Cricetulus griseus: one gene and its partners. The protein of the gene in region 2 interacts with the protein of the main gene of each other region in a pairwise test. Links are inferred from orthologs where the notes say so. Each region holds a gene or a part of one and is shown on either strand. Other genes may lie near its edges. The genes, in order: Nup58, Abi3, Kiaa0408 and Eif3h.

Region 1 (7,643 bases), on a different chromosome or scaffold from region 2:
AAAGCCTATAGCATTTTTCATGAGATACTCAATATAGCTTAGTACTTTATAACCTTCACCCAAAAGGAAAAAATAAAGTCTACTGACATAATTACAAATAACACTGAGAATAATTAAAACTTGGCATGCTATAAAAGAATCATTTTACAGTGCTGGTTAGAACCCTCAATCCTCTCAGATGCTTCATTAAAGCTTTGAATTTGGGGTTAGAGTTGTTTAACTTGCTAATCTATATAAATACCCAAAATATGAAACACTTCTGATCTCATGGATACTCAACCTTAAGGGGTTAAAGCAATACATGTTTGTGAGGAGTCCTATGTCCTCACAAATGATTCACTTAACAGAACACAAACTAAGTGGGTAATTGGCAAGAAAAATGATCACAGTGACTGGCGAGTAAAAAGGTGATCATATTCCAAGCATGCATATAATGCATATGGAACCTATTACCTTGGATGAAGACACAGGGAGTAAAATGGTCCTGGAATAGTAATTGGTGTATGTAAAACTGATAGTGTAAGCACTGCAGGAATAACTCAGTAGTAGAGCTCACACTTAGCAAGCACAAAGCCCTGGGCTCAAAACTCAGCACAGAGAAGGCTAAAACTCAAGTATTTGTATTATTTGAGGAATGTCAACACCTTTTCCAAAAGAAATGGTTTTAAATTTTCTCATAACTAGTAATCAAAGATTGATATTTCAGAGGTTTTCCAGAACATGTATTTATCATTTTTGGCAAACACTAATTTTTGCCTTCTAAATGTATACCTGGTTATAATTTACTTCTATCTATACAATCTGCCAACAATTTAGTAAAGAAAATGTAATTACAATATTTAAAGTTAAATTTTAAACTTACTCTGGCCTTGTTCCTGTTTTATCACCTAGAAAATTCAAGATGATTCATGTAAAATAGGTCATTCAACAACACAGTAACACATACCAAGTTCTAAATGAACAGAAATTAAACAAAATACAAAGTATTTCGACATCATGCAATATGATTTTTCCCTATCATGAACTGCAGGAAGAACACAGCATAACGATGGAGATCTGACACCAAGCAAACACATTACAGAGTTCAGTTGCATCTACTTCCCTCAAGAAGAAACAACTTGGTCTTTTTGTATGAACAGTTTATGTCACTGTCTAACTCTAGATACCACCATCACCAGTACTGATGCCCTAACTTCTCTAACCTAACAATCCATAAAACATTCTGTCAATCATTTAAGACAACTGACTGTCTCCATGTACATTTTCATCTGCCACAGGCATAAAATGTATCTCACCCTCAACAAAGGACATCATACTTAAAATGCCAATCTACTATCATTCAAACTTTTCTTACAGCAGTAGTGAGGTAAAACATTTTCTTAAAATGTGCATTATGGCACTCGGGAGGCAGAGGCAGACGGATCTCTGTGAGTTCGAGACCAGCCTGGTCTACAAGAGCTAGTTCCAGGACAGCCTCCAGGTTTCCAGAGAAACCCTGTCTCAGAAAACCAAAAAAAAAAAAAAAAAATGTGCATTATGTAAAAAAATGTTTTCTACATTTTTAAACTGCTCACTCCTGTGATCGGTCCATTTTCCCTGAGGTACTGTTCATACTGTTAAGTTACTCAACATGAAACATATTACATTTCATTCATCTATTTCTAAAATTAAATCTAAGATTTGATGAGAAAGTAATAAAACCAAGGGTTTAATTTTTTTTAAGCCAAATAGCTCATTTTCTTAAAACTGATATACTATGGTGGTTTGAATGAGATGCCCTGATAATCTAGGGAATTTGAATACTTGGACCCCAGTTTATGGTGCTGTTTGGGTAGGATTAGGATGTGTAGTCTTGCTGAAGAAGTGTGTCACCAGGGGCTGACTCAGTTTTCAATAGCCACATTCCAATCCCAGTTTGTTCTCTACACTTCCTGCTTGCTGTTCCTGATACGGGCTCGCAAGTACTGCTCCAGAGGCCTGCCACCTACCATCTCTGCTATTATCGTGCACTATTACCCCTCTGGAACTGTAAGCCAAATAAACTCTTCTATATGCTGCCTTGGTCAGTGTTTTAACACAGCAATACAATAGTGATTAAGCCATGTAGTATTTCTTTGATACTTTACTTTTGAGCTACAATTCTCTATATACAATTTGTAAAATGGGCTACATTACCATGCACCCTATCAATCCACCCTCTGCCTCAGTAATAATATTCTTACAAACACTTCCTATGCTACTCTTGCATTCTTTGGCTTGCTGATTTCCACACAGCCATCTAAATGTTTTTCATCCTTTTACCCTCCATTTCCCCCTTTTGTTTTTCCATACACACATATCACTAAACTTGCTTTATTTGTTCACTACCCATCTTATCTAATGGTACCTTTCTTCCCCTCAAACATTTCCCACTCCTGCTTTCATGCCACACACATTTGATTATCTTTAGTTCCTGCTCCCCTATTTCTTTAGATTTCAGTCCTCTTTCTCACATCATAACCACCCCCAGCTTCCCCCCTCCACACACACCACAAGAGAGGAGGAGGAGGAGAGAAACAAGTAATGCCTGGGTTATCTGCTTATCATAATCTCCAGGACCATCTATTTTTCTTCAAGTATCATCATTTCATCTTATGCAACTGAACCCAATTGTACTGTGAATATGCCATCTTTTCCTTTCATCCATTCATCCCACTGGTGAACTAGCTAAGCTGGTTCTATCTCTTGGCTATAATGAACAGTAATAAATGTTCTTAAATCTTAAAACAAATCTCATCAAAACCCTCCAGTTTAATTACAAAACAATGTGGTATAAAAAGCCCTTCATAACTCTGGAAGGAAGCTGTGTCTATCTGACCTCTTCAGAAGGGCAAAGCCTTAATCCATATTGCCTCTTCTTTATTATCTATTACTCTCCTTCCATCTGGCTAAATCTCATAGATATAGGGCCAGAGCTAACTGCTATAGCTACTTGATAAAAAGTGACATTCTGGGGCTGGAGATATGGATCAGTGGTGTCTTAGTTAGGCTTCTATTGTTATGATAAAACACCCCTATCGATGGGGGGGAATAGTTACTTTATATAACCCAGGACCACCAGCTCAGTGGCGGTACTGCTGGGCCCTCCCACTCCCATATCAGTCACCAATCAAGAAAATGACCACAGACAGCTCTTACGCCGGATTCCAGTTAGGTTACTAGCACCTGTGGCAGTGGTTCACAGCCGCTGTTCAAATCTAGCTCCAGAGAATCTAAATATGATCCTTTTTCTGAACTCTGAGCACTTTCATCCTCCAACACACACACACACACACACACACACTAGAGAACGTGGAAAAACATCTGTGATTTAACAGAAGAATCCTGACAATCACCAATTAAGGGAAACAGAAGGTGGTACATGGTACTTATTCTCACATAATCTTTGCTCTACTCTAGCTCAGACACAGTATAAGAGTAGGGCTGTGGAGGAACAGGAAAGAAGAGAAATAAAGTTGTGCTTTTCTCTTATTCCTCTCTTTATAATTAAAAAATATCAACTAATTACTGACATAAACAAGAATGTCCAATGTTAGTCAAGTAAGAGTAGATTACAAACATACAGATCATGATTCTGATTTAAAAATAAGCATTAATATAAACATTAATAAAGCTATGTAAGACATATACACACACAAATTTAAGGTATTTAAAAAAGCCAATATATTATGCTCAAATTTGTGAATATTAATGATAGACAATACAAACAAATTTAAAGGTCCTAATAAATACATAGCTAGTGATCTTTCAAGCAGGAATTTTGAGTAACCTATAAGCTTCTTCCTAATGCCATTACCACATGAAATTGAGATAACTTCACTTACTCTTTTTATCTGAGGATGTACTAAAATCTATACCACCAAGGCCTTCATTGCATGCAGTTGAAGCAGGTGCTGTTGTTCCCAAAGACAAGCTTAAAGCATTTTGTCCGAGACCTGTAAATAAGCCAAATACCATTTATCAACTTTCCTAATTTTAAAAGAATTCCCCTTTACTGGCAACGCACTCAATACTTTGAAGACCACAGATTTTCCTACTACCTGTTTTAGGACATTAACATGAAACAAATCTGTAATAAATAATTTGGGTAAATATTGATAATATCTCATTGGATTCAATGATATATTTAGTTTGGAAGTTGGAATCTCTCACTATAAAAGGGCTCAACTATATCTAATTTGATATAGGTAAACATTGAATTTTTATTTATTTTTAAATTTTTTTCTACAAAATTTATTTCACATGATATATTTTCAGGTGAATACATCTTGCTGTTTAATATTTTGGAACTGCACAATTTTAAAATAATCTAGTGTGAATTCATAAGATGTGAGTGTGATATACCTTAAATGTTAAATACTAAATACACATCCCCAAAAGGATATTAAAATAAAAAAAAGTTTACTTAAAAAGTAAATAGCCTTTATTTTCTTATTTAAATCTCACCTCACTGGCAAAAAAAGGCAGTAATCATAGTAATTATACTTAGAAGGCAACCAGATTTTGTGTTGACAAACCTATTTTCCTACAAACCAATGCATTCCTAAACTAGTATGCCTGGTAGTTAGACAAGATGTTACCTGTTTTAAAAGCAGAGAAAATGTGATGTGATAACTGAAAACTAGATTTAAATTGTGGCAATGACTAAAAGAATAGTTAAATAAAAATTATGCTAAGTAACCCCAACCTACAATCTGAATGTACCAATATATAAAACTCTGGCTCCAAGCATTTCATGGAAGTGATACTCTACCTGTTTCTTTTTCAAGTCAATGGCACCTTTAGGTTAGCACAGGCATAAAGTAAGCATTGAGTATTATGTCAAGAGTCTAAGAAGTGGTGCAGATTTGCTGAGAATGCTCTGCTTCCTGATCCTGTGCAGATGTGAACAAGCCAGGAAGATGCAAGCTCTTACCACCACAGGCAGCACTGCCCACCTGCCATGCCTTAACCTCTGCTATATGCCCTGCATAGAAGAAGCTCAAGCTGCCTTCATAATGTATTTGGTTACAGCAATAAGAAAAGCAAACCCAAAGCACTGGGAAGTTATAAAATGATCTCCTGATTCTCCTTTGTACTGTATTTTCATTTTGGTATTACAGGAATCTGTGAGACATGTTTACACGCTTATCCTACAAGTAAGCATGATGCAGTCATTTGTATCTAGTCACTGGAAGGTACTCCGTGAACACTACAGATTTCTACAGGTCCCCGTGACCCAACTCTTTCTTCCTTTACAATCACCTGAATATTTTCCATTCATTTAATACCTCAATAGAAGACAAAAAAATTACTAGTTTCTTTGGTAGAAGGCATCAGCCATGCTTTTTCACCTATTTCAGCCAAAGGAAAAAAGCTACTATAAATCAGCCTCAGAATACTGTGGTTTTTTACAATTTAAATACACATAAACTCTCCTAGTTGGCCAACCGTTAACCAGAAACTCCTGAAATTACACTCTTATGTGAAATAATTACACAGTGTCTTCAAATAATTCTCAGAACACCCTCTCCTATCTTCCAGAATGAAAACCATACTGGGAAGCCAGATTTACCTGGCTATAATACGTATTTGGATGTAAAGCTCCCTTGTAACTCCAACTAAGCAAATTTTATCACCAAGCTACATCCTCTGCCAAGACAACTTAACTGACATTTATTTAAAAGACAAATTTTGGTGGAAGCTTTCTGAATCTTTCCTTAAATAGGCCCATTGAGGAAAAATGACAACATATTCTGAAGTATGGCTAAAATGTCCACTTACAAAGGAAAATTATTATTTTGGTTTTCATACTGAAAGAAAAATATTGTCTAAAAACGTGTCCTTTTTAACAAGTTAAATTAAAGTAAATTTAAATGCAAGCATTTACTATTCTGGAAAAAAAAAATATTATCAATTACCCGATGCTGCTGTGTTTGCACTCTGGAAAAGTGAACCTCCCAAGCCAGCTAAGGCCCCCCCTAAAGAAAGCCCGGTTGATGCTGTTGTTGTTGTGGCTGGTGTTGTTCCCAAATTATTTAAAGTAAATCCTGTGGATGCTGAGAGTGAAAGAAAGAGAGAGATGAATAAGCCTTCATATAGCACTTAACACTACAGGAAAATAGGACATTCTCAAAAATAGAATCCCATTGACACATCTAAACCTTTGGGGAAACCACTTGCTCAAGAAAACTTTGAAAATACTCAGAATAAAGCAGAACGGCAACTTCAAGACAGTAACTGGGGTTCCTCCCCTTTGTCCCTTCATTCAACAAAATAGCTTTGGGCACTATTCCAATGGCACCCAATAACTGATTCTAGACAATATAGTTTGTATCCCAGACAATATTTCTGCCTTTAAAAGCAAATGAATCCTGAGCCAGGTGAATTTACAAATGTCTTTATACATCCTGCCATAAAGTCTCTTGACAACAAATAAGATAAAAAACATCTGTGTATTTCACCACTCTGATCCTCTTTATTCTGAACAGAGGCCATATTTCAAGATGGCCAAACTGCTTTAATGGCCAATGCTATCTTTTTCCCAAATAAAGTCTTGTTACATAGCCAAGCCTTGCCTTGAACTCAAGATCTTCCTGAGGCATCCTCCCAAATCATAGGTGTGAACTACTAAGCCAATAGTTCAAAAAGACAAAATTGCCAACTAATTCAAATAAAAAAATTCCCAAAGTATAGTTGAGTTTTAGAGTTTTTTATTCTTGTACAACAAATCCTTATAATAACAATAGCAAATGCTTTACCCACTGCACCATCTCCCAGCCTGGTATTCTATTTAATATAAATGGCCACTGATGTTCTCTAACTGGATAAAATTTCAATGTAAGCATCACATTCAATTTTCTTCCCATTCTGTCTCACCTGCTGGCGTGGATGTCAGAGCAGACGACAGAGTGAGACCACTAGCTGAGGTAGACGTGCCAGGCAGGGCAAATGGTGTAGCAGAGGCTGCAGGTTTACTGAATCCTAAACTGAAGCCTGTTGTAGATGCAGATGTAGTAGCTGGTGTTCCTGTTTAAAAAAAAAAAAAAATCATTTTATCTTAATCATACAGATATTATGCTGGTTTTAATTAGTATCCTTATGTCTATAATCCTTTATCATAAATGGGATAAAAGGATTTGTAGAAGTGAAAGAAAATACTTAAGTTGGGACTAAATCATGGTAAAAATATAAAAAAGATGATCCTTTGGGTTAAGAAAAAGAAATGCAAGATGGGTGTGGTGGCACTCGCCTTTGATCCCAGCCCTCCGGAGGCATAGGTAGGCAGATCTCTGTGAGTTCTAGACCAGCCTGGTCTATATAGTGATTTCCAGGACAGCCTGAGAGACATAGTGAGACTCTATATAAAAACAAAAACAAAAACAAACAAACAAAAAAAAAACCCAAAGAAAAAGAATACAAACACAATGGCAATTGCAATTCCATCCCCAGACTTACCTGTAATAGCACTTATTCCCCAAAACTCTCTTTGCTCTCAACAGAAAAGTAGTCCCTCCTGTCACAAACTACCCAAGTATCATTTGGTACTCCTGAAAATCCTCTTCTTCCCGGACCCCCGTTTCTGTCAGCACCAAGCTCTCTTCTCACTCCTCCTTTCCTGCCTG
Region 2 (7,643 bases):
TGGCTCAGGCTGGTCCTTCTATCTCAGTCTTCCCTCAGGGCTGGGATTACAGGTTCCCACTGCCTCTCCTGGCTGTTGTTTGTGTCGTGTCATTTTGTTTTGGTTTCTTAAGGAACTGGGAATGGAGCCCAGGCTGTCTGGGAAGTGTGTTTCTGCTGAGTTAAGCTCCACTCCACCCTGGGGTAGTCTTGCTCATCTTGTGCATATTCCATAGCATTGGCTCCTGGGAATGGAAGAGAGGTGGAGGGCCTCGCAACTACCCATCCATCCCCTTGTCAGTCCTCACAGTCACCTTGTGAGACAACTCCTGTTTTATAGATATGAAAACGGGAAAGGAGGTGACACGTCCAGGGTCACCTCGCTCTGGAACAGCAGAGCCAGGCACGGCTTCCCTGACTTCTCACCTGAGGTCCTTCCTCTCCATCCTTCTGTCTGTCTGACACAGTGTATGACTTGGGACAGTTTATCTGCACTCTGTCCTTGGTTCCCTCTGCTCCATTAAGAATGACAGGTTAAGTCTGCAGCCCCTTACCCCTGGCCAAAATGTGTGACAACACCAGGTTCCTCATCCTATATTAAGGGGACTTGAGAGGAAAAGGGAGCAACTGTCTGTGGGAAATGGCAGACCAAAGAGGAGCAATGACAGCAAAGTTCTCTCTGTACCTTCCCACAGCCTCTTTTTTGTCCCTACACCAGTGGTGAGAGGTGAGCACCATTTACACTTCACAGCGAAGAAGCTGATATTCGGAAAGGGTTAAACTGGGATTCAAACTCAGAATTCTAGTTGGTTGTAGTGGCCATATCTGTGATCCCAGCACTTGTGGGGATATAGGAGGGGGACCGCCAAAAGTTTAAAACCTGCCTTATAGTCTCTATGTGAGTTCAAGCCAGTCAGGATTACACAGCAAGACACTAAAACAACACAGAGACCAAAACAACAAATCAAAACCCCAAGCAAAAAAGCAGGCAGAATTCTGACTTAGAGCCCAATCACTGACCCTTCAGACCACAGTGCTGCCTTGCCTGTCATTCTGGTGGGTGTGATGAGTGATCAGCCTGGAGACAGATGATCTGGAATGTGGCTTTTGAACCAGCTCTCTCCCACTACTAGCTCTTGGGCATGCTTCCCTGGCAGGGATGGAAGCAGCTCTTTCCCGCACCTGAAAGCGCTTCTGGTGGGTCCAATCCCATGTATGCAATTGGTGTGCACATGGGATCTGAAGCCAAAAGCTGAGTCCCCAGGTCTACCATCTACTGACTTAGGAATCTATGGTGAGATTCCCATTGGTCTTTCTCTCCTTCCTAAGATCTTCCTTCCTTCTTTCTCTCTTTCTTCCTTTCTTCCTATCCTGACATTGTCACTCTGCAGCTCAGGCTGGTCTTGAATTCATGACCTGTCTGCTTCAGTTCCAGAAGGCTGGGATTCCAGGCCTGAACCATCATTTGGGAGATGGGAGGAGTTCCTCTTAGAAGCTATACCTTCTCCAAGGTGATTATAAGTATTGACTGGAACAGTGTGCTGAAGCATTTGCCCAGGGCCCATCATCCTGTAAGGAGGGCAGGATAAATGTAGCTATAACTGCTGCTGTTACCATGTCAGTAGTGCCGTGGTGATGGAACTCCCTCTGTTGAGGTGACAGCTTTTGCAAACATACTCAGGGTATAAGAAACCCTGACCCAGGTTGGAAATCCCTGGGTTCCTTTGTGCAGAGTGCTGGCTCCTAGACCATGCAATCAATAACCATCCCTGCCTGTCATAAGAGGATAGTTTCGGGTGGTGTCTTTCATACGGTCTCCATCCCATCCTTCGCCCACTAACCAGGTGTCAGAAGCCCATGGGGAACAGCAGCAGGCAGATGGGTCAAGTGTATGGTTCTCAGCCAAGGTTGACTGAGTATACAAACAGGGTGATTTGCATGATGAACAAGCAGCTTCATTGAAGGTTCCCTGACCCTTGTTTCTCCAGCCTGACTGTGGGCCAAGATCAAAGTTAGAGGTTAGAAACAGCCAGGCTGGAGGTACCCAGAGCTAAGCCCAAGCAGATATTTCTTGTTTGGGTTGCTATGTCCATGTGCTGGGCTGGGGAGGGAACTGTCCAGAAGCAGAGAGAGACTTGGAATTAAATAAATAATAAACAAATTAATTCCATTAAATAAAGACCCGGAACAAAGCCTGTAGTCCTTTCTACTTTCTTTGCCTGTTCAAGGCTTTGGGTGGCATATGCTGATGAATGTAAATTTTATTGCATATGCAGATAACATGTAAATAGGCACACACATGAGCATCGCTTTCCTGCTGTTAGAACAGAAAAGTAGGAGGTCCATGACATGGGTTTTCCAGAAGGTTCTAGTTCAGGCTACAAGAGAGGAATCCAGATCCTACTGAGGAGACAGCCCTGATAGTTCCAGCCACAGGTCCTATGGAGCACACGAAGTTCCAAGCCAGGAAACCATCAGTGAACTTGCCTCTTCATATTTGCCTCATCTCTGCCTGCCCCCCCCACCCCCACCCCCACCCCTGAAAGGGACAGGCTTCAGTGCAGCAAGCTTGTGATTGATGGGGAAGGAGGAAGCTGTTTGGGGAAGCAAGACACCCAAGAAGGTTTACCCAGCCCCCAAGTCTGGTCTGGAACCAAAAAAAGTTCTTTTGTCTTTAGACATTCTCTGGGCATCCCTTTTCCCCTGACTGGCAGTGTGGCACTGGCCAGTGTCTGGTGTGCGGTAGGAAGCTGCCCAGCCGGTGTTGGGTTCCCCTTCGACCTGTCCATCAGCCAACAAAAGGATATTTATTTATTTATTTATTTATTTAAGATCTTCTGTGTGCTGGGGACTATGTCAGCTTAGGATGCAGGACAGAATGGCCCAGCTCTCTGTTTTCATGGTACTTATGTTTGACTGCTGGGAGGTGAGGTGAAGGAAAACAAAGAACAGAGAAAGTATGATAATAACAGTGAGCTGGGTAAAAGCTTAGGAAGCGGAGAAGCTGGAATCATCTAGAAAAAATAACAACGCTAAGAACAAGCACCAGGTGTCTGAGGTAGATCCAACCCAGCAGTTGTTAGGGAACAGAACTCCAGTGGTCAGTGTGGCTGGAGAGAAGCAAGGGGTGTGTGTGGAAGGGGAAGGTGGTATTTAAAGCCAACTGGGGTGGCACATATCTGTAATCCTAGCATTTAGGAGCCAGAGGCAGGAGAATCAGGAGTTCAAGGCCAGCCTTGGTTACACAGAGAGACTGAGGCCTATTCTACATGAAACCCTGTCAGGAGGGGGAAAAGAGGCGTATTAGAAAGTTGTCAGAGGGAACGAGAGAAGGAAGTCACTTGATGCTGGGACACAGTGATCTCATGTAAGTTCCCACACACCTGCAGGCAGATTGGGGCTAAAGAAGTTCAAGGTCAGCCGGGGGTTTTCTCCCAACCTCAGTCAGAGGGATCTTTGGTTCGCAGGGTTAGGGTAAGGGTGTGATATTGGTTGGTTGGTTTTTAAATTTAGTTGTCTCCTCAGGCCAGCATCACTTCCCCTCTTGCTTTCTACTCCTCACCATCCAGCCTGCAGAGACACACTTGCTGAGGAAGGCAGTAGGGTCTGGTCCTCTCAACTTAGTCCTTGCCTCCACTATTGGAGGAGAGGACTCCTCCCCAGTCTCCACAGCCAGTTCTCTCAGGCTGCAGACTTGTTTTCTTAATGTCCCCTCTAACCCTCATACTACAACATCATCCTTCCGGAAGCTACCTCCAGCATCTAAGGATGGCAGCATTCTCCAAGTTCAGCTCCTGCCTCCTGTAGATTCTCTTCTGGTCCCACTGGACCTTGCCTAGGAAGCAGTGGAATGTGCTGGCCTCAGGCCAAGGCTGTGTGTATTTCAGGCCACAGACAAGCGGAAGGCATTAGAAGAGACCATGGCTTTCACCACCCAGGCCCTGGCCAGTGTGGCCTACCAAGTGGGTAACCTGGCTGGACATACTCTTCGAATGCTGGACCTACAGGGTGCTGCCCTGCGGCAGGTAGAAGCCAAGATCAGCACACTGAGCCAGGTAAGGGTGTGGGAAGGGACCCCTTCCAGCCCCAGCTCTTCAGTCCTACTCAAATATTGGCTACAACAAGAGTTTCTTGTATTTCTCCATGTCCGGGTTATCAATTTGACTACAGAATGCTGGTACCTTCTGAACTTTGGATACCTCCATCATGGCTCCCCAAGTCTTAGTGTGACTCTCACTACCCCATTAGAAGCAAAGTTCTCTGAAAGCAGCCTCTCTCTCTCTCTCTCTCTCTCTCTCTCTCTCTCTCTCTCTCTCTCTCTCCTCTTCCCCTTCTCTTGAGTGTTGCTATGGATATCTAAAAGCTTTGTCTGCCTGTCACAGAACCTGCACAATTGAAATACAGGCAATGATTAATAAGTGTCCTCCACTCAGGCTAGGCAAGCCCATCTTCAGCCCCCGAGTCGTCCCTGCTACCAACTTACAGAGTCCCTACCATTGGCTCATAAATACCCTCAGGCTTCCTTCCTGGGTTCTTGACCCCACAAGGCACATGTTACAATTAGCAAAGTTTAAATTTTGGTCTGACCCTAAGGCCCCAATGGGCCAGGGTACGGAGTGTGTCTTCCTCTTTCCCCTGGAGATCCAAGGTCCCAGCCCTCAAGGACTGAGGGAAACAAGAGGAAGCTAATTCACATATTGGTGACCCTAAAGGGGAAAGCTGACTTGGTTACAATTCTCTGTCACCTCCACACTATGCCCCTCTGCTCCAAAGGCTGCCCTGTCCTTCAATCTCTTCCCAGCATCCCCAGGGATGTTGTTTTTCCCTTTTCTTCTGTTTCCTGCACAGCTAATAATAACCCTCATTCTCTTCTACCAGGAAGTTGCTCCAAAGTGGCTCCATCCTTTCCTGCTACTCTTTTCCCAATTGCTGTATGGCCAAGGGGACAAAACTCACTTTCTCTGGATTTCCCTGCTTTCCATGGCTATTCTTTCCTCCACCCTTCTTTATTTTGAGGTAGCGTTTCACTATGTAGTCCTGGGTGGCCTAGAACTCATCATCATCTAGACCAATTTGGCCTCGAACTCACAGAGATCTACCTGCCTCTGCCTCCTGAACACTCTCTCTCTCTCTCTCTCTCTCTCTCTCTCTCTCTCTCTCTCTCTCTCTGTGTGTGTGTGTGTCTTTCGTTTTTCAAGACAGGGTCTCTCTGTAACTTTGGAGCCTGTCCTGGAACTCACTCTGCAGAGCAGGTTGGCCTGTGCGCCACCACTGCCTGGTTTCTCCCTCTCTTAAAGGGAGTGGTGTTGGACAGGCTGTGCCTCACTGTCACCTCCCAACCCTCTCATGCAGATGGTGAACATGCACATGGAAAAGGTGGCCAGAAGGGAGATTGGCACCTTAGCTACTGTCATGCGGCTGCCCCCTAGCCAGAAGGTCATCCCTCCTGAGAGTCTACCTCCCCTCACGCCGTACTACAGAAAACCCCTCAACTTCAGCTGCTTGGATGACATTGGCCATGGAATCAAGGTAACGGGAGCTTTGCTTGTCCCCTTACTGCCATGTCGTTGCTGCCACCCTCTCCTGCCATGTCGCTCCCTCCTATCTTACTTCTTTGTGAGCTCTTCCTCTCTTAGGCTTCCATGGCTAGGAGCCATGGCCTAAGCTCCTCACTGTCCCAAGGTCCCCAGCTGCCCTCTGCCCTGTACTCACTCTGCTTCTAAAGATCACATGCTGTCCCTGCCCCCCACCCATGGGTACTGGGTGTGTGTGTGTGTGTGTGTGTGTGTGTGAAGGGGAAGGGGGAAGGGAGGGTGTCAGGACACGCATGAGAACCACTTCTTAGCCACATGAGAACAGCAACTTCCTCTGTCTGGGCGTTTGAGGTCACGGCTCTAAGAAGTCACTCCAGAATGCTGGTGGTAGAGACAGGAGGCAGCAACAGAAAGCAGACTTGCTGGAGAGGATATAATCTCATTTTGCCACCACTGCTCCATATCATATTAGATTAGATTTCCTGTATCTTAACCCCTCGATTTTATGCCAGTCCCCGGAAGGGAGAACAAGACTTCTCTTCAGTTCCCAGGTCCCCATGAGTTCTTCCTGTTGTCCAACGTTCTTAGATTTTGTTTTTCCTTGGACAGTGCTGTGGATGGAACCCAGGTCTCCTGTAAGCTCAGCACAAGCTCTGCCTCTGAACTACATGCTCAGCCTCCAGCCTATCCTTTATGCCTCAAGTTCCCTTTCTTGTCTCTAGTGAGGCAGGGTGACAGAGAACCTGGGCCCCAGATGCTCATCCTGGGGAAGTCCCGAAGTTAGAGGTGTATCTTGCATTGGGGGTTGCTTTCTATCATGGAATCTCCTAGGTGCCTTGGGTTCTGCCATCCCTCTGCCTTGAATTTGGGGAGGACAGTTGCATAGGTTTATGGAAATGAGTGAGACAGTTCTGTGTCTCCCCTCTCCATTCCTGTCTTCCTCTCTTGTTGGAGTAGACATCAAATTAGAGTTAAGGACCACCAAGTCACCCAGGTCCTTTCCTATTTAAGATAGTGTGGGCGTGCAAAGGCCCACTCAGTCACTGTGGCTATGCAGAGGAAGAGGTTCTCAGACGAGCTGCCGGCTTCTTTCGGGGAACCTTTGTGGGACCTGCTGCAGACTTAAGACCCTGTGGCTCAGGCAAAGACACCCGCGTATGGGGTGGGGGTAGGGCGGGAGGAGGGCTGGGAAGTGGAAGTAGGAACTTGCTGAGTCTGGCTAGTCCTCCCAGTTCTCCGTGTTCGTCCCTTCCCCAATTCCTCTTAGGGGTGAGGGTGAGGATTGCTCCCCTTATGTCAGATGTCAACTCTATCCCCTCCCTCCAGGACTTGAGCACGCAGCTGTCGCGGACTGGGACGCTGTCTCGCAAGAGCATCAAGGCGCCTGCTACACCTGCCTCCTCCGCGCTGGGGTGAGGCCTCAAGGCCATTCCTACCAGCCCTGCCCAGCTCCTTGGGGTTCTCAACTGCTTCCCTACCCCTTGCCAGCAGCACCTGGTGCCTTGGTATCCCTGAGCCTGGGGCCGATTCTCCCTCCACAAGCCATCCTTCCTAAACCCCAGTTCTGCTCAGCAGAGGCCCCTCCCTCCTTATGCCACCCTTACTCCACTCCCAGGAGACCACCCCGGATCCCCGAGCCCGTGCAGCTCCCAGCCGTGCCCGACGGCAAACTCTCCGCTGCCTCCTCTGCCTCTTCCTTGGCCTCGGCGGGGTGAGCGCTTGAGTCTAGTGGGTGGGTAGACAGTAGCTGGATTTTTAGAGGGCGGCCTCCTATCAGACATCTGGGGTTGAGAAAACTAAGGTGGGAAAAACTCAGGGTGGGAAAAATAATTTGAGGCCAGATTTTTGGGTTGGAGGGACCCTTTGGGGACGCTAAGTTACAAGGCTTCTCTCACGTGTGTGTGCTCCCTCTGGTCTTTAGCAGTGTCGAAGGTGCCAGTGGGACCCCCCAGGCAGCACTTGCAACCTCGCCTCCTCCACCTCCGGCACCTGCAACCCCGCCTCCTCCACCTCCGGCACCTGCAAACCCCCCTCCTCCACCTCCCGCACCTGCAACCCCGCCTCCTCCACCTCCGGCACCTGCAACCCCGCCTCCTCCGCCAGTCTCTGCGGAGGTCTTCTTACCACCTCC
Region 3 (7,186 bases), on a different chromosome or scaffold from region 2:
AGAATATACAATATTGTACATTGTGTCAACTTAAATCATTTTGAAAAGTCAATGAAGATGGCAATAAAAAAATCTAATCTAAGAAATTAAAGTACAAGGAGAAAATTATCCCATAGATTAAAAACACTGAAGACTGATGGAAAGTTAGGGTTAGATCTCTTGTCCCAGTGATCTTGAAAGATGCAGAAGAGAACAGGACAGTTTGTAAACACGCTGAATATTCAGTTTGGCAAAAGGGATGAGAACTTTTGTAATCCAGCAATCCAGGCTAGGGATCTAGACCATCTGGGCTGCGGTTTGCAGAGAGACTTTATAGCTGTGGGCAGTCCTCCGTAATGCTGGGGGTGCGGATGGCGATCTGGATGCCCATCTGGATGGGAGCCGGCGATTGGCTGGTCTAGCAGGTCGGGAAAATCCTTTTCCATTCGAGGCTTTCACTGCTATGGATTCCTACAACACAAATAAAGGCCACAATCTCCTTACACACACCACCTTTATTCAAGGGATACATCAAAAGGGTCACCACCACCACCACTGCCATCATAACAACTACAAAAGTGTTCATGAGATTTTTTAACTCATGGTTCCAACTGTCCTTCTTCCAATGATTTTTTAGATTTATTTTTATTACATATAGATGTTTTGCCTGTATTCATGTATGTGCACTATGTGTGTCCTGGTGCCCACAGAGGTCAGAAGAAGTCATCAGATTCCCTGAAACTGGAGTTAACAGAAGGTTACAAGATGCCATGTGGGGACTGGGAAGGGAACTCAGACCCTCTGGAAGAGCAACAAGTGCTCCTAACTGCTCATGCATCTCTCCACCTCTTGCAAGCCTGCAACTGGCCTTCCTAATAAAGCTGATGCTCTTGCATCTGAGACAGGCAGTGAGGACAGACTCAGGTGCTACTATTTCCCTCAGACCCAAGCAATAGCCTCATATTTTATTGTCTCTTTGGATACTTAAATTTAATTCACAGGGGTTTTAAAATACCTCCCAAATCGCTAAACAATGAAAAAGAGGAAACATTCAGCATCTATTCTTAGTTCATGAGAAATTTGTTGGTTATATTTGTGTTTGTGTGTCTCTGGTCATAGGACCTACAGATTTATGGTTTCAACTAAAATGCAGAGAAGTATAAAAGCCAGGGAATTATTTGAAATGCTGGCTAATATAATGTCACATTATTTAAATTACATATTAAAAAGGGGCATTTTGTATAAGTCTTCATAGTAAATACCAATTTGCTTGACCTCTCCCTTTATAGTTAATGAAGATGTGCTCTTTTAAGTGGACAAAAAAGAGCAAATGATTATTTAAATACCCATTTTTGTTAATTTCTATGTAAAAATATATATGGCTAGCTGTATTTTGTAGACTTTTAGTGGCACAAACAAAAGAGTTTGTTTTTTGTTTGTTTTAAATGTTTAAACACTTGAACATTTAAAACAAGAAATTGTTTTGCTTTCATACACATTTGTGTGACTAACCCTATGAGACACAAGTCATACAATGGGAAAGTCTGAATCAATCATAATTGAGAAAGTGGGAGTTATTAAAAAATGTTGTATGTACTGAAATAATAAAGCTTTAGAGTAAAACTCTGTAAGTCAACAGATATGTATTCTGATTTATTTTAAAGGAAGGAAACAAATAACTTTCCCCAGGTTCTTGAAAGCATATTATATCAATATTACTTATTTATTTATTATTTACTTATTTTTGAGGCAGGGTCTCACAATACAGTCCCAGATGACCTGGAGCTCAACTTTGAAAACCATTCCGGTCTCAAACTCACAGAGCTCCACCTGCTTCTGCCTCCTGAGTGTTGCAATTAAAGGCACGAGTGACCACATGCGTCCTTGATATGACTTATTTTTAAATAATGCACTAGTTGAAGTATTTAAAACTGTACCCTCAATTCATATTAAGTTATGCCTCACAGAGGGCCAAGAAGGTAAGAAGATACCAAAATATGTCTACACCCTAATTATATGATCTAGCAACTGAACTGATTTCAGAGCTATTGCTAAAGATGGAAGTAGTCCCTGATGTCCCAGCTGTGTTATCCCTGCACTAAGTAAATGTTCCATTTGATACACTTCTAAACATCGGCCCCACATGGTACCACCACTTACATCAGAACCGCATTTGGTCCAGTTATCCCTGAAGCATTTTGAGTTTTGCTGGACAGACCCTGTCTCTGTCTCATAGGTTTTCAGCAGCTTTTCCACCACACGATAATTTGATCTGGGATCAGCTGACTTTGGCCGGCTAGAAAAATTGCTTGGTCTCCAATCATGCTCATGGAACATGAGCTGATAGGTGCTGGGACTCACGAATGCCTGCATTTGTTTGACCAGGCCAGTTGCAGATACTTGTGTGGAATTACTGAACACTTTTTCCATGGGCACAGGTATGTGGTCACTAGCTTTCAAGCCATTAGTCCCATCGTCACTTTCTGATACGTCGTCTTTATCAGCAGGAGAGCTGTCACAGAGATTGAGATTATCAGGTGGTTTTGAATAGCTTTGACTTTGCTGTACTGCTTGACAACTTCTGTCTGTCCTAAATACAGTCCTGTTAAATTCATCAATCTTTGCTGCCAGCTTTTCATTCCTTGGAGTCCTTTCTAAATTGCAGTTGTAACTTCTACGTGGGTCTGTCTGTGTCACTGAGTGAAGAAAGTCACTTTTCACATGAAGATCAAGATGAGATTTAGTAGGGTTTTCTGGAATCACCTTTTCAACTTTTGCTTTATTGGGGGTGAAACCAATTTTTTGAGACAGTGTAGAAGGGCTCTCCTTTGTGCCTATAAAAGTGTCACATGACCACATATTAAGTCCAGTGTCTTCGTTACCTGGAGGCTTGCTATCTATTCTGACTTCTGGTATCAAAGAGGAAGCCATGGTACTATCTTTCAATCTTCTGTCTTCTTGTGGAAACAATGGAGACTGCCTCAAAAGAAAATGAGGACTGCAGTTCCTTTTGTCTTGACTCTCATTGGCCACCCACCTGTGGTATAAACTTTCCTTCAGTCTTTCTTGGGCTTGTTCAGAGTATGAGCTGGGGAAATTTCGAGAGGTACTTCTTGGAGGAGGAATTGGTGGAATTTCACTTCTTTGTAAGTCAATTACACCAGTTCCACAGTTTTTCATTGAATTGTTTTGGAATCTGTTGGCCCAGCTCTGATTCTTTTTCTGTTTTTCTTTCTCCAAATTGGTTGGAAGAATGCCCTGGCTATTACTGATAAAGTGGTCCCCATGAGGTGCACTGATTGCATTTGGCATTTCCCGGAGAACAGAATCTGACTTCATCCTAAATAATTATAAAACAAGGTATGTCAATGACAATTTTTTTCAAAATGAGCTTTTAAGGGAAGCCATAGTTTAAAAAATACATTTCAGCTATAAGTCACAATTTGCTGAAACATTGTGTGTGTATACTTTTATATGTGTGTGTACATATATATATATATATATATATATATAAATAATGTGATACATAAGTATGTGTATATATGTGTGTATATGTTCATATTCTAAATCCACTTATTACAAATCCTCTTTATTGCTTTATTGTAGGATGAAGTCTTCAGGGTTACATTCATGGATTTAACCCAAATTTTAGTCAGAGTCATTCGCTAACATGAAAGCTCATGCTAGATTCTAACTAGACAATGTAGTCTCTTGAGTTTCTGCTCTTGCCCCTCCCATTTCTACAGATTTTCTCCTGCCATATCCTTTCCCTCTCTTTCCTATGCAATTCCTATTCACTATTCATAATTCCTATTCGGTCTTCCTTTTTCTCCTTGCATTGTAAATAACCCTGGGAACAGTGTTAGTCTGAATGAAGTGTCATGAGCACTAGGAAACCCCAAGTGGAAAGTCTCATTTGAATTTGAAAGGAAACTAAGATTATATTTCATGAATCAAAGAAAGGGAATACAAACAAACAGGCTCTAACAAGGTGTGCCCATTGAGGGAATGAAGAGTGCCCTGGATGGATTTAAAGCAGAGTGAGGGACACAGAAATACTAAGGCATGCCAAATCTTAGATCAATGTTAAACCATATATTGAGGCTCTGAAGCGCTTTCTAGAGGGCATTGGGATGACGACAAAATCTTCACTTTTTAATGGTTTACGGGTTATTTTTTTGAGAATTTCATAAAATAAATTTTGTTATATTCTTTGATCTTCCCTTAACAGATACATTTATTACAGAGTCCACCTTAATTAAACACGCAAAGAATATAATAGTCCTAATATTTAAATTGTGAAACATATTAGAAGATTGCTTTTAAGAATCCATGAAATAAGATATACATGATGAGGCAGTTTAGATTCACTGACTGTGAAAAGAATTCTTTTGAATTTTCTGGTTTACAATGGTCACACGTGTGCCAGCCTACCTTCTGTGGTTAGGGCGCTTTCGGATTTCCTCTTGAAAGGTGCATAATTCTTCACTCACTTTTGCAAGTTCTTCAAGAGCCTTCACACCCATAACACATAAAAAGAGAGGCGTTGTTAGCACTCGGAAGTGCAAGCACTTCTTTAGAAACACTTCCTGGCTGATCTGGTCTTACTTACTGTGTTAAGGGCGACAGAACAATCTTTACTCTCCTCCTTAGAAGTCCTCATGCCAGCCTCCTCATGTGCCTCCTCTTCTGTGGCCAAAGGATTCAGAAACCCGACTTTGTTTCCTGTGGGCGTGTTTTGGTTTTTATAAGCTTGGTTTCCTTCTCTGAGGAAGTCCCTTTCTAGCTTGTTGTCCTTGTCCAGATCATCTCGGTGATTCATCACTCTAAATTCACATTGTCCTGAATTGGGGTGATTTGGAGGAAATTCCATTTTATCTTGATCACGATCAAGAGCAATGACCTTAGAATGTTCATTCATGTTCATTTTCCTCCTCAGCTTTACTTCCTGGCAAAGCTGTAGGAAATAAAAATTAAAAATTTACTTTTCCTAATTTTCTTGATCAATATATTTTCTCTTTCTCTTTTATGATCAATAAATTTTCATAAGCAGAGTTTTATTACATAGTCCTGATATGGAACCCATTGTGAAGACCGGAATGGCCTCATGCTCCCCAGTATCTACTTGCCTCTGACTTTGAATACTAGTAATAAAGGCATGTGCTACTATGCCTAACTTTGTTCAATATTCTTGGATACTAAGCAAATCATTTCAAGTCCTTTTTGCAATATTACTACATACTACCATGGGTATTAATGCTTGTGCATATAGATAGTGCCTCTAAAACAGGAATGAGATAGGACAGTTTTGGTGAACCGTAAAGACTAGTTTTAGTAGGGCAATGCATGGATACCACATTCTGTTTTTCTGATGAGAAATCAACTCATTAAAAAAATAAATTAAATCTGGATCTATACAGAATGCAGAAGCACAATCACAAAATTACACTGACCCAAATCAATCACTCTCTATTCTCTATAACCACTTTCTAATATAACAAAAGTTTAACATTAATAGTCATATATTTTAAACATACGATCTTATGTAACAACATAAGATCTAAACTGTCTAAATAGCTGACAATATCATATAGTAAATCAGCATATTCTTTCCTCTAAGTAATCCCTTATTAATCATTTCCTTGGTTGGTCAACTACTTTATCAAGGGGTAGATATTATAGTGATATTTTTAATGCCACAATGATACACATTCTTTTAACAAGTTGTTTTTACTCATATTAAAATGATTGCATCAATGTTCTACCTGATAAGCCAGAACTTTAAAAATTGGACTATCTATCGCCTCAGTAAAAGACAATCCCAAATTATTTCTTAAGGAGGCTGCCTTAGTGAAATCAGCAGATACTCCATCAGCTTACTCCCAAAGTGAAGAAGGAAGCAGTGTTTTCCTGAGATTTGCTTACATCTTGCAAAAGCCTATCATATTTCAAAACAGACCATCAAATAACTTTAAAGCAAATACCTTTATATTTCACTAAGGTAATAAATGTAATAACATACTCAATATTTATACATAATTCCAGTTGAGAGAGTATACATAACTAATACATTAAGGATACATGGTGCTTTTAGTTCCCCAATATTGATAAAGATTTTAATCACTCATTTCCAAACTACAGCAATAAATTGATTGTTTTGATGCCTACAAAATTAATTGTATTGAATTGTTCTTCAACATGAATGATATAAGGAACAACCCCCAAAGTCCCCTGTTAAATTTAAGGATATTGTTGGCAGTGTTTTCCCATTTTTAAGAATTCCTGAATAGACTTGGCATGGTGGCACTCACCTTTAATCCCAGCACTCAGGAGGCAGAGGCAGGAGAATCTCTGTGAGTTCGAGTCCAGCCAGGTCTACAAAGCAAGTTTCAGGACCATCAAGGCTGTTACACAGAGAAACCGTGTCTCAAAACAGAACAAAACAAAAAATTTCCTGAATTAAAAAGAAAATTGCTATATTTTTAGACCCAGGGGAAATTGTGCTATTCACAACTCATGGCTTTTCATTTTGCATGTTAACTATATTGGGTTCTAGAAAGACCCACTCCTGTGTATTATATACAATTCCTTTTCATGTATTCATCTAATCCTTCAGTTTTTGGTTTGGTATAATTTAACTTATATGTAATTTTATGCCATTATAGCTTCCCAAAACTCAACTTAGTTGAGAAATTAAAACAGCAGCAGCAAGAATTCTGCCCCCCACCCCCTGAAACTAGTACTAGTACACTGTAACAAATGGAAAACTTTTTCTTTGGTATAGGAAATTTTTCCTGTTCAATAGCTGAATGACCAAATGACACAAGCAGAAAAGACTGCAAGGGAACAAAAAAATTTCAAGATTTCTATCAGCTAAGTTATACATGATCATAGTTCATAGGGAATTATTCCAGGTTTCAAATTGTCTGAGTACATATGCCTTGGATTTTCAATAGCAATTGTAATGAATGCGGAGAGGGACTCAGCAGAGATACAGGACCATCTTCATACTGGATGCTTTCACTCAATTGTATTATTACTTAAAATCACCAATGTTACAGATGCACACTCTGGAGTCTGCGTCTTTCTAGCACATGGCTCAATATCCTGAAAGAATTTAATACTAGAGCCTAGTAACTTTAAACACACGTACTGTACTTGTTAAACAACATATTTGCTAAAGAAAAAATACTTCACTATGTTTGAA
Region 4 (8,112 bases), on a different chromosome or scaffold from region 2:
AATGTAGTGTCCAGTACTATGACTGAGTTAGATCCAATTGAGTTGTCGGTCAAAGGGGTCCCATAAAAATCCTTAAACAACCCAGGCTGTTAACAAGACAATAGGCTGCTCTCCACAAAGTGACAGAAAGCTCCCACTGCCAAGGACAACACCCACACAACTCATTGAACATGGAGAAGTCCGAGCTGGCACCTACATAGAATCTTCACCCCTCCATTCTTGTGTCTTTGGTACAAGAAGGTACTCTGCAGGCTACCAAAAGATAAATGTGACCACCAACCCAGCCACAATACCTTTGATCCTCAGTGCTGTCCTGCCTGCAAACCTGCTGGGCAATGGTGGCACAAACCTTGTGGGAGTAGTCAACCAATGTCTGATTTGACTCAAGTCCTAGTCCAAGAGATGGGACTCACACCCAACACGGCTTGGGTGACCAGGAACCAGAGATTAGATAGACCAAAGAGACCAAAGAGACTAGGATAAAACCAAGCATTGTTGGTCTTAAAAGAGAAAGTAGAGATAAAATAAATCCTAATGATATTCTTCTATATTCATAGATGAGTGCCTTAGTCAGTCATCATGAGAGAAGCTGCCTCCTGCAGATGAGAACAAATACAGAGACCCACAGTCCACACACACACACACACACACACACACACACACACACACACACACAGAGAGAGAGAGAGAGAGAGAGAGAGAGAGAGAGAGAGAGAGAGAGAGAGACAGAGACAGAGACCTTGGAACACACAACTTCAAAAGGGATGTCTCTATCAAATCCCTCCCCTCAGAATTCAGCCCCCCCCCCCCCGGAAGAGGAGGCAGAGAAAGGGTGAGAGTCACAGGGGATGGAGGACGTCAGAAGAAATCTCTAAATCAGCTGAGCAAAACTCCTATGTGCTGAGTATTGGATCACCTGCTATTGGCTTCCTCCGCCGCCGATGCAGTAAGCCAAATCAAACCAAATTTAGTAAACAGAGCAAAACTCAGGAAGGAGGAGAGAGAGAGAGAGAGAGAGAGAGAGAGAGAGAGAGAGAGAGAGAGAGAGAGACAGACACACAGAGAGATAGAAAGACAGAGTGTGTTCCAGGGAGGAGCTGGGATGGCAGGCTTTCTCAGGGGCGGGGTCTACAGTGGGTGGAGCGGGTCTGGGTGGAGTTTCCCAACAACAGGAATTCACAGAGACTGAAGCAGTTATCAGAGGACCTGAACAAGTCTGCACCAAGTCTATCGAGTATATATTATAGTGAAAGACCCCCAGACCCCTAAGGGCCTCAGGATCCCGAGGAGCCCCCAAGACTCAGAAACCAGACCAAAGGCTGCAAAAGCAAGAGGGTTTATTGAACAAGTGCGCATTCGGGTGTCAGCAATATCGGGGAAGCTGCACACGCCAGCCAGGGTTACAGGCTTCTTATATAGGAAAAAACCGCAGATCAGCATACAGGCAAGGGGCACAAAGTGATTGATTACAAAGTATGAACTCATGTTAGAGTGGTCACCAGGTGTGACCTGCTTTTTTATAAAGGAAAAACCATAGAACGTACCCTGAAAAGTCCTTGATTGTCTGTTGGCCAGGTGTGACCCAAAAAGGATTGTTTGTCTGCCCTCGGGTTGGGGCAAGGCCTGTGGAAAACTTTTTCTCTCTGTGAACTAAAATCTTTCAAAACCTTTTCTCTCAGCAAACTAAAATCTTTCAATAGCTTCCAGTTTAGTTTTTTTTTTTTTTCTTTTCTTTTCTTTCTCCAAGACAGAGTTTCTGTGTAACAGCCCTAGATGTCGTGTAACCCACTCTGGCCTGGAACTCACAGAAATCCTCCTGCCTCTGCCTCCCGAGTGCTGGGATTAAAGGTGTGCACCACCATCACCCGGCCGTTTCTTCCTACTTTTTTTTTTTTTTGGAGCCTATCCTGGAACTAGCTCTTGTAGGCCAGGCTGGTCTCGAACTCACAGAGATCCTCCTGCCTCTGCCTCCCCAGTGCTGGGACTAAAGGTGTGCGCCCCGCCGCTGCCGCCGCCACCACCACCACCACCACCACCACCACCTGGCCTACCCTGCAGGCTCGACTCCCATTTAATTCTTTGTGAGGGTTTTATTTTTGCATTTTACATCCCTGCTACTGATTGGTAGTGTCACTCCTCTATGACCCACCTTGTGGAGATTTTCTCTGTGGTCCAGGAGATGGTCTACTTTGTTCATATTTCTTATAGACTTGAAAAATCGGTCGTTGAATCATTAGTAACACTTGGGGTGTAACAGTTTCTGTTGTCTGTATGATATATAACAGACCCTAAGTACTAGCAACAACGAAATCAAAACATCAGGGTACAGTATGGTTTGCCACGGTGTGAGCATTGCATGACTCCCGAATAGTGAGTGAAGTCCATGCTCATTGCAAACATAAGGCGAAAAGTCACTTGGGAGCAGGGATTGCTTAACATGGCTTGCTGCACAACCGATGCAGTGGTTTGCAGACCTGATACCATGTAGGTCCCGCGTGTCACAGGCCAGCACGGTTTGCAGGGCATGTATTCTGAATGCTCACCATTGCATCAACGTGAACGCTCCAACGGCCCATAAAAGAACCCCTTTGGGGGCTGGAGAGATGGCTCAGAGGTTAAGAGCACTGGCTGCCCTTCCAGAGGTCTTGAGTTCAATTCCCAGCGACCACATGTTGGCTCCCAACCATCTGCAACGAGATCTGGTGCCCTCTAATGTTGTATACATAATAAATAAAATCTTTTTTTTTTTTTTTAAAGAACTCCTTTGGTATTTTACTCAAGCGAAGCATCGGTCCTGGAGACCGCAGCAAGGTTAAGCACGGTCTAAGTACTTTCCGTGCGTTCCCTGGGGTTAGAGACTGCACAATCTGAAACGTCACAAGGCCAGCGAGCGGCCCCAGGAGCTTGTCACTAGTTAGCAAGCGCTGTGGCTTGCCTCACGCCTCCTTGAAAGCTGGTGGGAGGAGTGGGAATTAAACTAGCAGCGGGAAGCACTTTTGCACCGGCCCCGCCGCCCGAGTGCGCGCTCTGTCGCTGCAGCGGCCGCGCGTTTAGCGGAGCGAGTGCAAGCGCACGCTGGCCCGGGAAGGATCCGGGCAGGCACGCAACGCGCATGCGCGGGGCTATCCCCGCCCTCAGGAAGCACGGGGAGGGGGCGTGGCCGCACCCTGGCCGCCCTTCCAGACCCAGACCCCCCCCCGTCCAGACGCCGTGGTTCCGCTTCCGGCGCCGCACGCTTCCCTCTCTTCCTGTCTGGCCGGGACCATGGCGTCGCGCAAGGAAGGCACCGGCCCCAGCGCCGCCTCGGCGGGCTCCGCGGGCTCCGCGGTGGGGAAGGGCAAAGGCAAAGGCGGCTCGGGGGACTCGGCCGTGAAGCAGGTGCAGATCGACGGCCTGGTGAGTGCGGGCGGCCCGGCTTCCGGCCGCTGTCCCCGCGAGGAGCAGCACCCTGGCCGGCGTCTGCACTGTGGCTCCAAAGGTTTCCACCGAGGGGGCCGGGGGCGAGCAGAGCCGGGGTGGGCGACACGTTGCATGCCCTGGAGAGCCGGTCCAAGCCGGTGACAGCTGCTGCGGCGAGCAGGAGGGTTCAGGGCCCTGCGAGGGGGAGAGAGAGAGAGAGAGACACCTCCGGAGGAGGCTTTATTTTAAACATTTATTTATTATGTATTATACAACATTCTGCTTCCCTCTATATCTGCACACCATCAGAGGGCACCAGATGTCGTTACAGATGGCTGGGAGCGACCGTGTGGGTGCTGGGAATCGAACTCAGGACCTCTGGAAGGGCAGCCGGTGCTCTGCACACCATTAAGGGCACCAGATGTCATTACAGATGGTTGTGAGCCGCCGTGTGGGTGCTGGGGATCGAACCCAGGACCTCTGGAAGGGCAGCCGGTGCTCTGCACACCATCAGAGGGCACCAGATGTCATTACAGATGGTTGGGAGCCGCCGTGTGGGTGCTGGGAATCGAACTCAGGACCTCTGGAAGGGCAGCCAGTGCTCTGCACACCATCAGAGGGCACCAGATGTCATTACAGATGGTTGGGAGCCGCCGTGTGGGTGCTGGGAATCGAACTCAGGACCTCTGGGAGGGCAGCCGGTGCTCTGCACACCATCAGAGGGCACCAGATGTCATTACAGATGGTTGTGAGCCGCCGTGTGGGTGCTGGGAATCGAACCCAGGACCTCTGGAAGGGCAGCCAGTGCTCTGCACACCATTAAGGGCACCAGATGTCATTACAGATGGTTGTGAGCCGCCGTGTGGGTGCTGGGGATCGAACCCAGGACCTCTGGAAGGGCAGCCGGTGCTCTGCACACCATCAGAGGGCACCAGATGTCATTACAGATGGTTGTGAGCCGCCGTGTGGGTGCTGGGAATCGAACTCAGGACCTCTGGAAGGGCAGCCAATGCTCCTAACACTCTGAGCCGTCTCTCCAGCCCTGTCACCCTCGCTTTGAGTAAGTAGTGCATCACTTCACCTGGGGCAGACCCTTAGGCAGTGCTCAGTCTGCACAGTAACAAGCCGCAGGGAATAAGCTTTTTAAGCTTTTAATAGGATATTTCTGGGTAAGGTTTATGCACCGGGGCATCTGGAAAGCTCGGGATAAGAAAACGCATGGGACGGAAGACGTGGGCATCTCAAATGATGTGGGTTTCCAAGCTTGAGGAGCATCCTCCAGCAGGTTGTGCTGGCACATGGCTTTACTTGGAGCACTGGTGAGGCGCAGGCCGCCTGGGTGAAAACCCTTTATGCTGGTGACTGGGTGTGAGCTTGTGAAACTGTCAGTCGTGGTTATGGTCGACTGTGATGTATCTGTGGACGCCAGAGTTTGCAGGATGCTCGGGAGAGCTCTGGAAAGGTTTATCTAATATTTAAATGTCCCCTGTATAAGGCAATGCTGTCTCCTTTGCTTCGCTTACAGTTTCAGCTTTCAGTGGCTTTTTTGAAGCAGGTGCCTTCAGGAATGAATACTACATTTTTAAAGATTGTCGGTTAGTTGGTGGGTGGTGGACTTGAATTGTAGAAGTACCAGCTAAACACTCCCGGAACGTGTTTTAAGTCTTAAGAACTAATGTTTTAGTGCACTTGCATATGCTTTGAAACCACTCTTTGGATTCCTTGGTTTCCAGAGTTGTAGAAGGCAACAGGTAGATATTATAAATCGGTAACTACAAATACATATTTTAGGACTTGGGCTGGGCTTGGTGGTACATACCTGTAATGCCAGCACCTGGGAGGGTGCAGCAGGATGCTAGGGAGTTGTTTGTCAGTCTGGGCTACATAGTGAGACTGTCAAAGAAGAGAAAGTAAAATACTTTCAGGGCAGTCTTGAAACTGCAGAGCTGTCATGGGACAGTGCCTTAAGAAATTTGAAGCAGCCGGGCGTTGGTGGTGCACGCCTTTAGTCCCAGCACTCGGGAGGCAGAGGCAGGCGGATCTCTGAGTTTGAGACCAGCCTGATCTCCAGATCGAGTGCCAGGATAGGCTCCAATGCTACACAGAGAAACCCTGTCTCGATTCCCCTCCCACCCCCCCCAAAAGAAATTTAAAGCAATAGGATTGCTGCAGGTGGAAACAGACAGGGTCATTTGAGTTCAGCAAGCAGGCAGTGGGCCTAGGAAAGTCAAGACACTTGTTTGGGATTTCTGTACTCACATACCACTGTTTTCTTTACTTGGAAACTGACTAATGCTCTTCTTAAGAGATTGGATTAAAAGTTTATAATTTACTATGAAGATAGACTTTTTAGTGGCAAAGGGCCTCTTTTAGTTATCAGGTTTCCTGGCAAGTCATACTGAGAATTAGAAGCTTATGAGTGAACCCAAGTGAGTCATCAAAAGGGACACTCAAGTCCTTAAGGGCCTTTACTTGCTGAGTCATCATGGTGGCCCTTAGTTCAAATCTTAATATCCCCTTTAAAGATATCTTGATTTTTTTGTTTGTTTGTTTTTCTCATTCATTCAAAAAATTCCAGATCGTAGCTCCCTTCATTAGATGTTTTTGGTGAATTTGGGGCCCATCAAGGTGTAGTTTTTGTGTTCAGGTTTGTTTCCTGTTCTTCCCACACTTTGTCTAGAAGGTATGTTTCAGTTACCTGTGACCCAGTTAGCCATTCCCTGGCTAGGTCCTGCAGCTCGTCTTCCTTTTGTCCATGACATTCCTCTTGACCGCCTTGTCATGTTCAGGGTTGCTGTGTGTGACTTAATAGAACTGTGGTTTTAATCTCTGGTTTAATTTGAATCTGTGTATTTCAGATATGTTCTGTGATTTAGTAAAATCGTGGATTACCTGTCTTTTTGTTCTTTTGAGAGAGGGTCTCTGTGTAGTTCTGACTATCATGGGACTAACTACATAGACCGGGCTGGCCTCGAACTCAGAATGATCCTCTTGCCTCTACCTAGTTAGTGACATCGAGCTCTGCCAGATGCTATGCATAAGGCATGGATGAGCTACTCAGATATTAATTTCATATTGATTATGGTTGCTTCTGGCATGTTGCTAGTGACTACAACCAGTTAGTATTATCCTTAGAAATATAAGCTCTTGGTCATATTGAAGGTTAGTTCATAAGAATGACTTGATGTATTTCAAATATATTTCTATAATAAATGTATTCTCATGGAATTTAGATGCCTTGAGTAGTTTACCTCTCTAGTTGTTTTTTGGTTATTTGTTTGTTTTGTTGTTTTGAGACAGGGTTTTTCTGTGTAGCTTTGGAGCCTGTTCTGAAACTCTTTGTAGACCAGAATAGCCTTGAACTCACAGAGATCTGCATGCCTCTGCCTCCCGAGTGCTGGGACTAAAGGCGTGCGCCACCATGCCCGGCTGCCACCCTTCATTCTGTCTTCCATTTGTACAGCTGCTTCCTGTGTTCTGTTTTATGCGGCAGATGCTGTTATAAATGCTTTGTGTGTAGGTGGTGTGGGCAGACTAGAGATCACCTTTGGAGTCATCATTCTCTACCTTAATGTTTCTCTTTATTTCTAAAAGTCTCATATATGCAAGAATGAATTTGATCCTATCTGCCTTCCTTTTGCCTCTTTTAACCCTCCCAAGTACTTCCAGCGTGTCCTCCTTCCAATTTCCAACTTAATGTTTCCTTCTTTCCTGCCTGCCTGCCTGCCTGCCTGCCTGCCTGCCTGCCTGCCTGCTGCCTGCCTTCCTTCCTTCTTCCTTCCTTCCTTCCTTCCTTCCTTCCTTCCTTCCTTCCTTCCTTCCTTGTGCCTCTTTTTCTTCTTCCTTTTCCTCTTTTTGGCTGAGATGCTGTTGGTGGTAATCTATACAAATTCCAGTTAGTCCTGCCTATATGGGTTTGGGGTCATCTGCCAGAGCTTTGGAATCCTACTGGGCCTGACTCTCCCTTCCCCAGGGACTACTCACTGCCACTAGCCCCACACTATGGGATGGGCACATCTATCCCATCCATGCCAGACTTTTGGCTGGCTTCATCTTGTGCAGATAGCCACAGCTTCTGTGCGCTGTGCTTCTGACAGCCATGACAGCTTCTGTGCGCTGTGCTTCTGACAGCCATGGCATGCCCAGAAGACGTGTCCTGCAGTAGTACTTTGAGCCTTACATCCTTTCCCCTTCCTTCTCCGTGATGTTCCAGAGACCCAGTGGTAGTGGGGTCAGTACAGCTGTCCGTGTTAGACCTGGACATTGAGCATTGACTCATCGTGCATCTCTGTTGACCACCGTCTACTGCACAAGAGCCTCAGTTACCAAGGTTGAGAGCAGCTCAGGTCTGTCGGTATAAGCATACTTTTAATTAATTTTTTACTTAAATTTTTTTTTTTGTTGTTGTTTTTGACAGGGTCTTACTAAAAAGCCCGTGGCTGGCCTGGAATTCACTGTGTAGATCAGGCTGCCCTCCAACACGCAGCAGTCCACCTGTCTCTGTCTCCTAAGTGTTGGGACTGAAGGTGTATAGCACCATTCTTGGCCAAGCATGAATTGGAGAAGGCATGTTGACCATGCCCATTCAGCGAAGTGGCAAAAGCAAGTTCTGCTTTATGCTTTTGACCAGGATTACAGTATGAGGCATTCAATTTGTGCCTGTGGAGCAGGTCTTTAATACAGTCAGAAAGCAGTTAGTTACCCCATGACCGT

Evidence for each region.
Region 1: the proteins of Abi3 (region 2) and Nup58 interact in binary tests that used the Homo sapiens proteins (3 or more experiments, as listed by UniProt). The two-hybrid records come from large-scale screens. The link is inferred for Cricetulus griseus from reciprocal best matches to the Homo sapiens genes ABI3 and NUP58.
Region 3: the proteins of Abi3 (region 2) and Kiaa0408 interact in binary tests that used the Homo sapiens proteins (3 or more experiments, as listed by UniProt). The two-hybrid records come from large-scale screens. The link is inferred for Cricetulus griseus from reciprocal best matches to the Homo sapiens genes ABI3 and KIAA0408.
Region 4: the proteins of Abi3 (region 2) and Eif3h interact in binary tests that used the Homo sapiens proteins (3 or more experiments, as listed by UniProt). The two-hybrid records come from large-scale screens. The link is inferred for Cricetulus griseus from reciprocal best matches to the Homo sapiens genes ABI3 and EIF3H.

What each region holds. Positions count from the first base shown.
Region 1 is NW_023276807.1:215,226,733-215,234,375, forward strand, and holds part of Nup58 (nucleoporin p58/p45), read right to left. Parts: intron 7,048-7,643; coding exon 6,898-7,047; intron 6,078-6,897; coding exon 5,940-6,077; intron 3,975-5,939; coding exon 3,864-3,974; intron 888-3,863; coding exon 863-887; intron 1-862. UniProt on the Homo sapiens protein: Component of the nuclear pore complex, a complex required for the trafficking across the nuclear membrane.
Region 2 is NC_048600.1:108,988,546-108,996,188, reverse strand, and holds part of Abi3 (ABI gene family member 3), read left to right. Parts: intron 1-3,865; coding exon 3,866-4,033; intron 4,034-5,330; coding exon 5,331-5,507; intron 5,508-6,838; coding exon 6,839-6,924; intron 6,925-7,127; coding exon 7,128-7,223; intron 7,224-7,433; coding exon 7,434-7,643. UniProt on the Homo sapiens protein: May inhibit tumor metastasis. In vitro, reduces cell motility.
Region 3 is NC_048595.1:247,811,354-247,818,539, reverse strand, and holds the end of Kiaa0408 (uncharacterized protein KIAA0408 homolog), read right to left. Parts: intron 4,937-7,186; coding exon 4,592-4,936; intron 4,494-4,591; coding exon 4,414-4,493; intron 3,320-4,413; coding exon 2,014-3,319; intron 451-2,013; coding exon 277-450; downstream 1-276.
Region 4 is NC_048603.1:3,231,140-3,239,251, forward strand, and holds the start of Eif3h (eukaryotic translation initiation factor 3 subunit H), read left to right. Parts: upstream 1-3,210; 5' UTR 3,211-3,264; coding exon 3,265-3,396; intron 3,397-8,112.